Drosophila melanogaster: one gene and its partner. The protein of the gene in region 2 interacts with the protein of the main gene of each other region in a pairwise test. Each region holds a gene or a part of one and is shown on either strand. Other genes may lie near its edges.

Evidence for each region.
Region 1: the proteins of CG1578 (region 2) and fand interact in a two-hybrid assay, tested with the Drosophila melanogaster proteins (one large-scale study listed by BioGRID).

Annotation. Positions count from the first base shown.
Region 1 is NT_033778.4:13,591,940-13,597,109, reverse strand, and holds fand (fandango), read right to left. Parts: upstream 3,467-5,170; 5' UTR 3,385-3,466; coding exon 3,340-3,384; intron 3,282-3,339; coding exon 1,251-3,281; intron 1,188-1,250; coding exon 612-1,187; 3' UTR 553-611; downstream 1-552. Other genes in the region: S-Lap5 (Sperm-Leucylaminopeptidase 5), read right to left, coding at 1-288. UniProt on the Drosophila melanogaster protein: Subunit of the NTC(Nineteen)/Prp19 complex, which is part of the spliceosome. The complex participates in spliceosome assembly, its remodeling and is required for efficient spliceosome activation. Essential for efficient pre-mRNA splicing.
Region 2 is NC_004354.4:11,813,521-11,818,254, forward strand, and holds the start of CG1578 (uncharacterized protein), read right to left. Parts: upstream 3,032-4,734; 5' UTR 2,906-3,031; exon of another isoform or gene 2,902-2,905; intron 2,224-2,901; exon of another isoform or gene 2,020-2,223; 5' UTR 1,765-2,019; coding exon 1,650-1,764; intron 1,362-1,649; coding exon 1,177-1,361; intron 1-1,176.

The DNA.
Region 1 (5,170 bases), on a different chromosome or scaffold from region 2:
CTCCGAGACCTTGCCCTGAGTTCGGTCGTCGAACTTCTCGCCGCTGGACGTCATCTTGACCTCCTTACCGTCGCCCTCCTTGGAGTAGACGCCCACCACCACGCCCTTGATAACAGTCTTGTTGTCACACTTGTCTGCTAATCCCCTCCAGATTTGAGAATCCGCTGGCTGAAGTCTGTGGTTAAAAAGTGGTGTTCCAAACAGATTGTACGATTTCCAGGGTGCCGTGACCTGTTGATATAATCTTGGATTGCGCGTAAAAGCACTGATCATGCGTGTGGATGCCATCTTCGAGATACACGGTGTGTGGTTAGTCCTGGTTAGTCCGCCCTTGCGCACGTCTGGTTAGCTTTTTTAGATCACGAAGTGCCTAACAATTTTGGAATGACAGTTGAAAGTGTGTTCCTCTGTTTGGCCTAAGGCTATACTAACTAGATCATCCAAAACGGAGACAATATCTAACAGGCCCCCTTCGTTTGACAACAATTAATATCAAAGTACCATTTAAGAATCTAATTGAGGCCAGAACATAAAAACCGATCAATTACAATTGTAAAACTTTCGACATACATGTATTTACCCCGAAAAAAGTCATATATATGTATAAACATTTACTCTCCATCAGAGTCGCCTTGATTTGAGGGCTTGAGGCTGCCGAAGACCTTGGCTGGAATGGCCTTTTGTTCGAAGCGCAGTTTCTTCATGACCAGGCCTTCCTCGTCGGTTTTCGTGACCGCTGCACTGGCCTGATTCTCGTTCGTCATCTCGTTCTCCTCATCGTCGTCCTCCTCCTCATCGTCCTCGTCGCTGTCTCCAATGTCGATCTCATCAGGATTGACGACCGTATCCTTTTTATCCTTAGCACCACCCTGAGTCTCACCGCGCACAAACATAATATTCGAGGCCGCCTTCTCGATGGGCTTCTGTTTGGACTCGGCTGCCGCCTGGCGAGCTTTCTCCTCCAGCAATCGCATGGCATCCGGTCCAGCTCCTGCTCCAGCATCCGCAGCCGCTCCGTTGTTTGTGCTCAGGAATTGGGCGGCCATCATGTTCACCTGCGTATTGTAAGTGGCCTGCACAGAGCGCTTGATGCGCAGCATTTCGCGCATTGTGTCTTCGTTGCCGTGACGCACTTCGAACTCCTTCCAAGTTTGCCAAAAGTCTGCAGTGATGCGGGGATCACAAACCTGAAGAATGCAAACAATAATTAGATTAAGTGATGCATTAGAAATCTATATATATTATCATACCTGTGAGCAATGAGCATAGATGGCTCTAGCTCGATCCACTTCGCCCAACTTCGTTTCCAACTCAGCAAACTTAACGCACATGTGGCGCATATTCTGCTCGGGCAGCGATTCGATGGCCTTCTCATAGATCTCGCGGGTACGTGGCAGGCCATAGATCTCGGCTGCCTTCTTTATAAATATGTTGTACATGTCGAACATCTCATCTTCTTTGACAGCAGACGTGGCACGATCATAGACCGACATGGCATGCCGGGCGAGACCGTGCTCCTCTTCCAACTTAGCATACAGTAAATAAAAGTACTTAGCATGCTCGGGAGGACACTGATCCAGGCACTGTTCGAAGAGATCTCTGGCTCGCTCCAGTTTTGTGCCGCCATAGCGCTCCAAAAATTTGGTTAGATAAGAGTTCCAAATGTCGTAGACATTGGGCCACTTGAACAGAGAGATGCCCTTCTCATAGGCTCGGTAGGCTTCCTCAAAGTAGTTGTGCTCCTCGAGGAACATTCCGTAATTGATAATGATCTGTGGCGTACAGATTTTCAGATCAATAATCCGCTCGTAGACGGCTTTGCACGTCTTGAATGTGCCGAATGACTCCTCCAAATCCGCGTACATGGACCACACTTTTAGCGAGCGATGAAGGCGCGCCTGCACCGTTTCCGTATCATCATAATAGGCAATCTTTCGCTTTGGCATGGCCGTCGCCCTTTGCATCAGCTTGAGTGCCGCCTCGAACTGCTGTTGCCGTAACTCCATCTCTGCCCATTCGCACCACACCGCCGCCAGATCCTCTACTTTAACATACTCAACCTCAGTGCCGCGTTCGAAGACCACACGAGCATCCTCCACCTGTCCGTTGGCCTCGTAGAACTTGGCGAACTCCACCCAGAGAGTGTGTAGTTTGCCGACCGCCTGCTTCGGCTGCACTGTTTGCACGGCCTCGGTGTACGTACTGATGATCTCGGCGGGCTTGTCCTCGTACAGTGTCACCCGCTTGTGCCACTCGTGCACGTTGTGCGGATTCTGGCGCAGAAGCACACTATTCAACAGCAGCAAACGGCGCTCCATGAGGTATTCGAAGCGTGAGAGCCGCAGTTCAACGTCAATGTCGTCCTCCTCGGTGGCCGCCTCATTGGCAGCTACCTGCTCCATACGTCTGTTCAGCGAGAGTTCCTCGAACTGTGCGTATTCATCAAAGACTTGGGTGAAGTCTCTTACGGTGGTCACAGTTTGAATGGCTTCCTCGTATATATCTCTTGCCCGATCAAATAAGCCGGAACGCACATAGTAATCCGCCAGAGAGTTCCACAGGTGGCCCAGCTGATCGGTGTAGCGACGCAGCCCACCGCGAATGATGGCGTCCACGTTCAAGGAGTGCACCTTGTGTGGATTCTTCGAGATGAGGTCGCACAATTCGTTCCACAGCTGATGATTGGACTTGCCGTGTTTGGAAACGAAGTGCTCGTTGTCGACGATGTGCGCCAGCTGCTGGGCAGCTTCGTCCAGCCGATCTGCTTCCTGTAGGTAGTCCACATATTCCTCTGTGTCCTCGGGAAAGAGTTTCAGATATCGACGGTAGACTCGCAGTGCTGTTTCCGGCATTTCAAAGCGGCGTACAAACTGCAAATACAGTGGCCAAATCCTGCCGTGCTGCGTGATGGGCAGAGCCCTTAGAGCCCGATCGAAAACGTGCCGGGTGCGGGTAATCTTGCATTGCGAGGTCATGAAGGCACCGTAGTCCATCCAGATACGTGGCATTTTGTGCATAAACACCAGTGCACGTTCGAAGGCACTGTTGACCTCCTCGTACATGGGATCCGTGGGTATCTTGCCGCGCACCTGCTTCCTGCGAGTTCTCAGGTAATTGTGCCAGATCTTATAGCTGCCAGGAAGCTCTTTCAGAGCACGCTCATAGACCATGTTAACACCATTATTCGGCGCCTTCGCTTTGTGATCAATGTAGCGCAGCCAATGTTTTACGGAGTAGGCGTTTCGAAGGATTTCCTCCTCATACGGCACATCCTCCACTTCCTGTGTGTGAAAAACTTGATAGGTTAGTTGTGATTTACATATATTTCATGGTACTTACGAAATTGATCTCTAAATTCAGAGATTTTATCGTTTTTGTCACCATTTTTCGCGATTTTCATGAAATGCCGCAAACAATAATTTTCTCATGCGCGTCCCACGAAAACAGCTGATCGAAATGGCGTTGCCAGAAGGTTTGAAAAGTAGTGGTATTAAGATACCGCAGCTAATACCAAAGTAATTAAATCCTAATTAACATGTAAACAATATTTTAAGAATACAGAAAAATTGTTCATAAAACTAAGATAACTTTGGCTTGTGTACATTTTTTTTACAAATTGTGAACATCTAGAATTTTCTAAGTGCACCTTATTTAAACGTTGAAGTTATGGACAAACCAAAACAATCGTGAATTTTCTAGAGTACCATTGCGGTATATTTTGCCTCCCTTTGAATTGGTATTTCGCCCTTCGTCCGCTGCCCAACACTGGCCTCAGTTTGTGAATTTTTCGTAAGCCCATCTGCAGATGTTTTCGTCGCTGCTGCCAATATTTTGACGTTCATACCGTTTGCGTATTTCGCAGAGACCAGTTAACGCGCTCGTAAAATCGCAAAAAACACACTTAACGCGATCGTTTGTTCTGTTTTTGTAAACACATTGCAATTGGCCTGCATTTTGCATAATTTACGCAACGAAGGCAACTGCGTGAGTGCACCAACACACACACACACACACACAGCCGTGCAAAAGAGAGCCAAAGAGAGTGAGGAGCGCAGGCGAGTTGGCAGCCAAAGGCAAAAAATCAAAGTCTATCGAAAAAAACACTATAAAAATAGATCAAAATGACGCGCTTGAAACATTTCTCAGCATAGAACGACTATCAATCGAATTAAGTTTTAAGTAATACCCAACGACCGTGGAAAAACCAAGCACAGTGGTAAGTAAAAGACGAGGGGAAAACACGAAAAAACACGTCACACGTGTGCGTGTGCTTGCAAGTGTGTGTGTGCGAGCGTGTGAGTGGGTGGGTGTCATAAATATTTTCGCACACACTTGTTCCTGCATTGATTTTATATTTTTCGCACAGGCTCAAACTTGTGTGTGCCGCCGCACTCCAATTGGTCCAGGTAAATCCAATTAGACTGGATCCTAGGTAAAAAAAAACCACCACCGGAAAATCTATTTCCCCGCTTCCCGAACAGCTGTTTATGATGGTTCTCAAAAATTTTCCACTCGCTCTTGTTGCCCGAGGGAAAATTTTGGGCATTTTAGGGCCTCCCGTATTGAATGTAAACAGAAAACACACACGAAAGTGCGGAAAAGCGCTTAGATTTTCCTTGCCGGCTGTGGCCCAATATCTCTCTCTTTGCCACCCCCTCTCTTCGCACTGTTGCCACCCACTAAACTGACACACTAAGCCGCCCGCCAGCAACAACAGCAACAACAAAGGCGGCTAAAACCACTGCAGCTTTGAGCCGCATGCAGCTTTTTTAACTGCCAGCGGAAAAGCTTTATCAATTCAGTTGGCTAAAATCCCAGCAAAGATTCGGGTTTATTTCAAGGAAAACTTTTAATTCTTAAAATTAAAAATGCCCGTTGTTTTCAAATGAGATTTTTTAAAATGATTATTATGTCTAAAAATTGTAAATAATCTAAAAGAGTTGAAAAAACCATAGCATATTCACTTAAAAATAGCTTAAAAACATTGCTAATTATAAAATATCATATTGAGATGACTTCTGCTAACAATATTATATCATATTCAATATTTTGCCCACTGAGAATGAGAATGTGCTGACCACAATTTCCCCTAAGCCACCCACTGCACTTCAACGAATATTCCAGAAACGCTCGGAGAAAGCTTCTCTTGGCCAAAAGCAGCTTTCCTGCC
Region 2 (4,734 bases):
GAGCTTAAAAGATGATAAGGAAAACTATAAGAACCAAAATGGAATAACCCTACCTAATAGTTGATCTTAAAGTCATCGTGGGCATGCCGTCATAATCAATAAAAAGTGTATAGAATCCACTATCTTAGTGAATTATTATTAGTTCCTATATACGACATATTTTCAACGTAATTAATTTCCTATCAGCTCAAAGCTGATCAAATTGTAATGCACGATATCAGCTAAGCGAATGCAAAAATGTAATTACACTGTGAGTGCAGGCGATACTGATACTAATGACTTCAGTTAATAATACTATAATGCCTATAAGGCCTGCCAAAGTGTAAACACACCCCATCATGGTGCAAAAACAAATTGTATGATTATATATTATAATACTCATGGTTTGCATTGTTATTGTTTTGGTTTCTGCGGTCTTAATACTTTTTGTATCACTATTTTGAGTGTTTTTTTTTTCCTTTTTTGTTTTTACTTATTTAACCCGGTGGAATGGTTCACGTGCACGGCAACAGTTCGGTTCGTCCCGTCTTGATTGGTTGGGCATCGCGATAAGATTACCCATCGACCCACCGACCCACCGGCGCCTTCCCATCGCGAATGGATGGATGTATGTACATACATACATATACATATAGGAGTATGTGAATATTTAAATGCGATTGCGCCCACCCAATTACCGAGTGGTTTGCGGTTGCAGTTGCAATCTGGGCTGCAGTTGATTGATGCGCTGGAACGCGGATGAGTGGGCACGACCAGGAGCCCAAGGACATGGCACAACAAGCGCGGATAGACGAACCAAATCGCTGATCACTGATAGGCTCACGAATGAAAATTATAAACTATTACGTGCAGAAAAAAAAAACATTTCCCACTAATATATATAGTATTTTCAAGCACGTAAAGATTCAAAAGAAACGAATATAGTTTTTAAACTGTCTAGAGCAACATTTTCGTTTTTTCGGTGTATATATATATATATACATATATATATTAAAAATCAATTATGTATTATATACGGAACTTGGAGCGCTTAGCAAAACAAGAGTATCAACAACACAGCAATTGCAGTCGATTTTCCCCCGCTTTCCTTATCATCCATATTAATCAGAATTTAGGGAAGGGGTTCGGGATTGGGGTTTGAGTTTGGAACCGGCCAATCATTAAGCAATCAATCACCTTGCATGTCTCCAGCAGACTGTATAGATCCTCGACCTCGTCGTCATCGGTGGGCACGTATTGCTTGCCGGTCTGGGTGCTCTTGCCCTTGGTTTCGCGCCGGTATAGTGGCAATCCCATGGCGCTGGCCAGTATCTCGATGCCCATGTGGCCGACCGTCTGGTACATGAAGCTGTCCAGTTCGTCTGGAAATTGAAGATGCATGATGAAGAGGCACAGCGGCGAGAGATCAAATAAGGCGTAATGGTGGTAAATGATAGTGCAAATAGGAATACCAATATCGTGTGTGCCAATAAAATGGCACTGTCTGTTTGTCAGAAGAATCCAAATTGAAAGCATATACATATGTGCCTATCAACATTAATGTGATCCTTCTTTCAGAATTCAGTCATGAAATCATGGTGGGACAAAGGAGATGTGGTACGTTTTCTATATCCTTTAAGCTAAAGACTAAGTGATCGTTGTGGACTCACCTCTGTCCTTGGGATGCAGATTGGCCAGGGCGACGATTTCGTGGCCCTCGGCGACGCACTGCATCATGTTGTAGCAGCTGTCCTTGCCGCCACTGACCATGGCCACTACCCGCATCTTGAAGCCGATTTCCGATGCGGTTTCGCTTAGTGTAATGGCTTGTGCTAGTGTGTGTGCGTGCGGGTGTGTGTGTGTGTGTGATGCCTCTGCCTCTCTTTTATCTTTAGCTTTATTTTTGGCTTAGTTTGTGCTGCTCGTTAGTCCCGAAGTGCGTGCTCATTTGGTCTGCTTTTGTTGACTAGACTGATTTGCCGTGTCTTTTGGTTTGTTTTTCACTCTTTTCTCTCTGCCGCCACCTCCGCCGTTCTTGTGCTGCAAAAGACATAGCGATAGAAAAGTAGAAAAACACACACCATAAAAAAAAAACAAATAAATATGGAGGAGCTTGGTAAGGAAGGAGGAGGTAAATTGCCTGATTACAAAGCTTTCAAACTGTAAAAGTGCCCGTGTGTAATTGTTTTAAAACCGTAAGTGCTTGTTGCTCGGAGAAATTGAATTAAAGCTGCGAAAATACCCCCACACACACACGCATGCACAGGCGATCTGATTGCATTATCGCAGGACCTCGCTCTCCGGCTGCCATCCTCTCCTTCGCCACTGCTTCGTTCTCTTCCCCTTTCCCAATTGGAAAATTGCACGAAGGTCACACACACAATCATATACGCGCTCGCGCGCGAATAGATAGATGCTTTTATTTTGCATTTTAGTTTAGAGCAGAATATTTAAACATGTATAAATCTACGTTTTATAAATAAATCGAATTAGTTGCGCCGGCAGAAGAAGCGCGTGCAGCAGCAACAACAAACATGCGGAGCAGCAAAACAAGAAAGCGCAAAGAAAACGAAAGTAAGGCGAAAGGAAATCAAGGAAAAAAACGAATGTGCCTTATATACAATCACACCCACGCACACACATAACCCACAGATTTGACCCAAATATATTATTTTCAACATATAACACTTTATTCATTTCCTTTCCTTTTTTCCCATTTGGATGAACTCACTCTGGATACCAAAACACAACCCAACACACACACACACACTCACACACGTAAGCACAACCGCAATAAACACACATTTTGCGAATTTCGAAAAACAACAAACTTAATGCGCCATGTGGCTGTTGTGCAAAAATATGCCGCTGGACAGGATTAGAGTAATGCTGCGGCGAACGGGAGCGATCATGAACGCTTACCAACCCAGCTGGTCGAGCTTTATAATTGTTGTGCGACAGAACTTTACGCCAACGTAAATGGCCAAATTAATCTTTTTTGCCGCTAATGCAGCGCCAGTGTTGCCAAATGGCGGTGGTCTGAATTCAATAATCGGTTCCGGCCTAGGGCAATTAGATACTAAATAATGCTACAAAAGCTCAAATTTGAAAATGAAAAAAAAAATACTAATTAAAATAATTACTTTTATTACTGAATAATTCGGTGGTGAAACTATACGTTTTTTCAGAGCATATGGTGTTGTGTTTTAATATTTTAAAAGCCGTTAGCTATTCATATTAAGCTGCTTTGCTAATATTTTAAATAAATAGACTGCAACTAGATTTATCCGTTACAAGGACATACACTCGTATATAAAGTCTGGTCACACTCAGAATGCTGTAATATAAAATTTGGTATTTCATATTACAGCTGCACGGTCACACTGGCATAGCACCCAGAAACCAAAAGAGCGAGACAAAAAACAGAGAGAGAAACAGCGCAGCAACCAAAATAATAACAATTAATAATACTAAGTGTCCGCTAAAGATATTGCACGAATAAAGGCAAACGCTCGCCAGCAGTCAGACCAGCTAGTACTAGTTTTTTCCCTTTCGTTCTGGCAGCAGAGTTTCTTGGTTATTTTCTTCTTTTTTTTCTGTTGCGACGCATAAATCGTCTCTTAATCGATATATACATATATATATATATAAAGACCTATGTATATAAGTTAACGGGAGAGTACGAAAACAAGGCGAACGTTTTGCAGATTTAATGTCGCAGTTACTTTTTGTGCAGCAAGAACAACAACATTGGCAGTAAGCAACAGCAGCAGAAAAAACAACAACGATAACAATAACAAAATCATAAACGAAAAACGACGAAAAGGAAACTTAAGTAAAACGTACGACGCAGCGCAGTCGTTGTGTCTGTATTGGTGCGTGTGCGTGAATTTGTGAACGCGAGTGGGAGTGAGCCAGCAATAGGGCTCTGCGTCGACGGCGGCAGCGGCAGAGGAAGACGAAGAAGAAACATACAAAAAATAGTTCAGTTTTTTTCAAACAAAACTCGAGCTCCGCAGTTGAGAATTTGCTGCGCGTCTCGAAAAAGCTTGTAATTAATTAGTAGACGCCCAATATTAAGCAACAACAGTTTGAGGGCGTGGCAAATCAAAATAATAAGAAGCATATAAACACAACATAAGGGGGAGACGGAGCAAAAGAGAGAGAAAGAGCAAGACGCAATTGGAGATTTTGTTGCTGCTGCTGCCGCCTGCAACAACCGAAGATAATAATAAAGAGGAGCTGCAAACAAGAACTAAGAACAACAACAGCAACAACTGACGAAAAGCACACACCATAAAGGAAATCAACAACAAAAGCTAAAGTGAGAAAGAGAGACCAAGTGAGAGAGAGTAGGAGAGCGAGCAGCTGAAACATATGATTTTTGTTTGTGTTGTTGTTTTTGCGCGCGCTCTGCGGAACGTGTGAGAAAAGTGGAACGAGCGAAACGAGTGGCAGTGTTGTTGTGTTTCAGCTGCTGCTGATTCAACCAGCGAACAGCAACAACAACGCAAGTGGTAAGTTCTTCATCTTCTTCTTCTAGTTGTTTCTGTTTGACGCGCAAAAAAAAAATTGAAAAAGAAAAGGAAAGAAAATCGTGCATATACATATGTGTACGAATATGAAAATCATATCTTCTATTTATGCAACTATTTGTTTATTTTTGCTCTGTCGAAATCACAGACGTGTAAGTTGTGCAAACAAAGAGCCAAGAATAGAGCGAAAAAAATGGGGAAGCTAAGCAGTGCAAAGAGA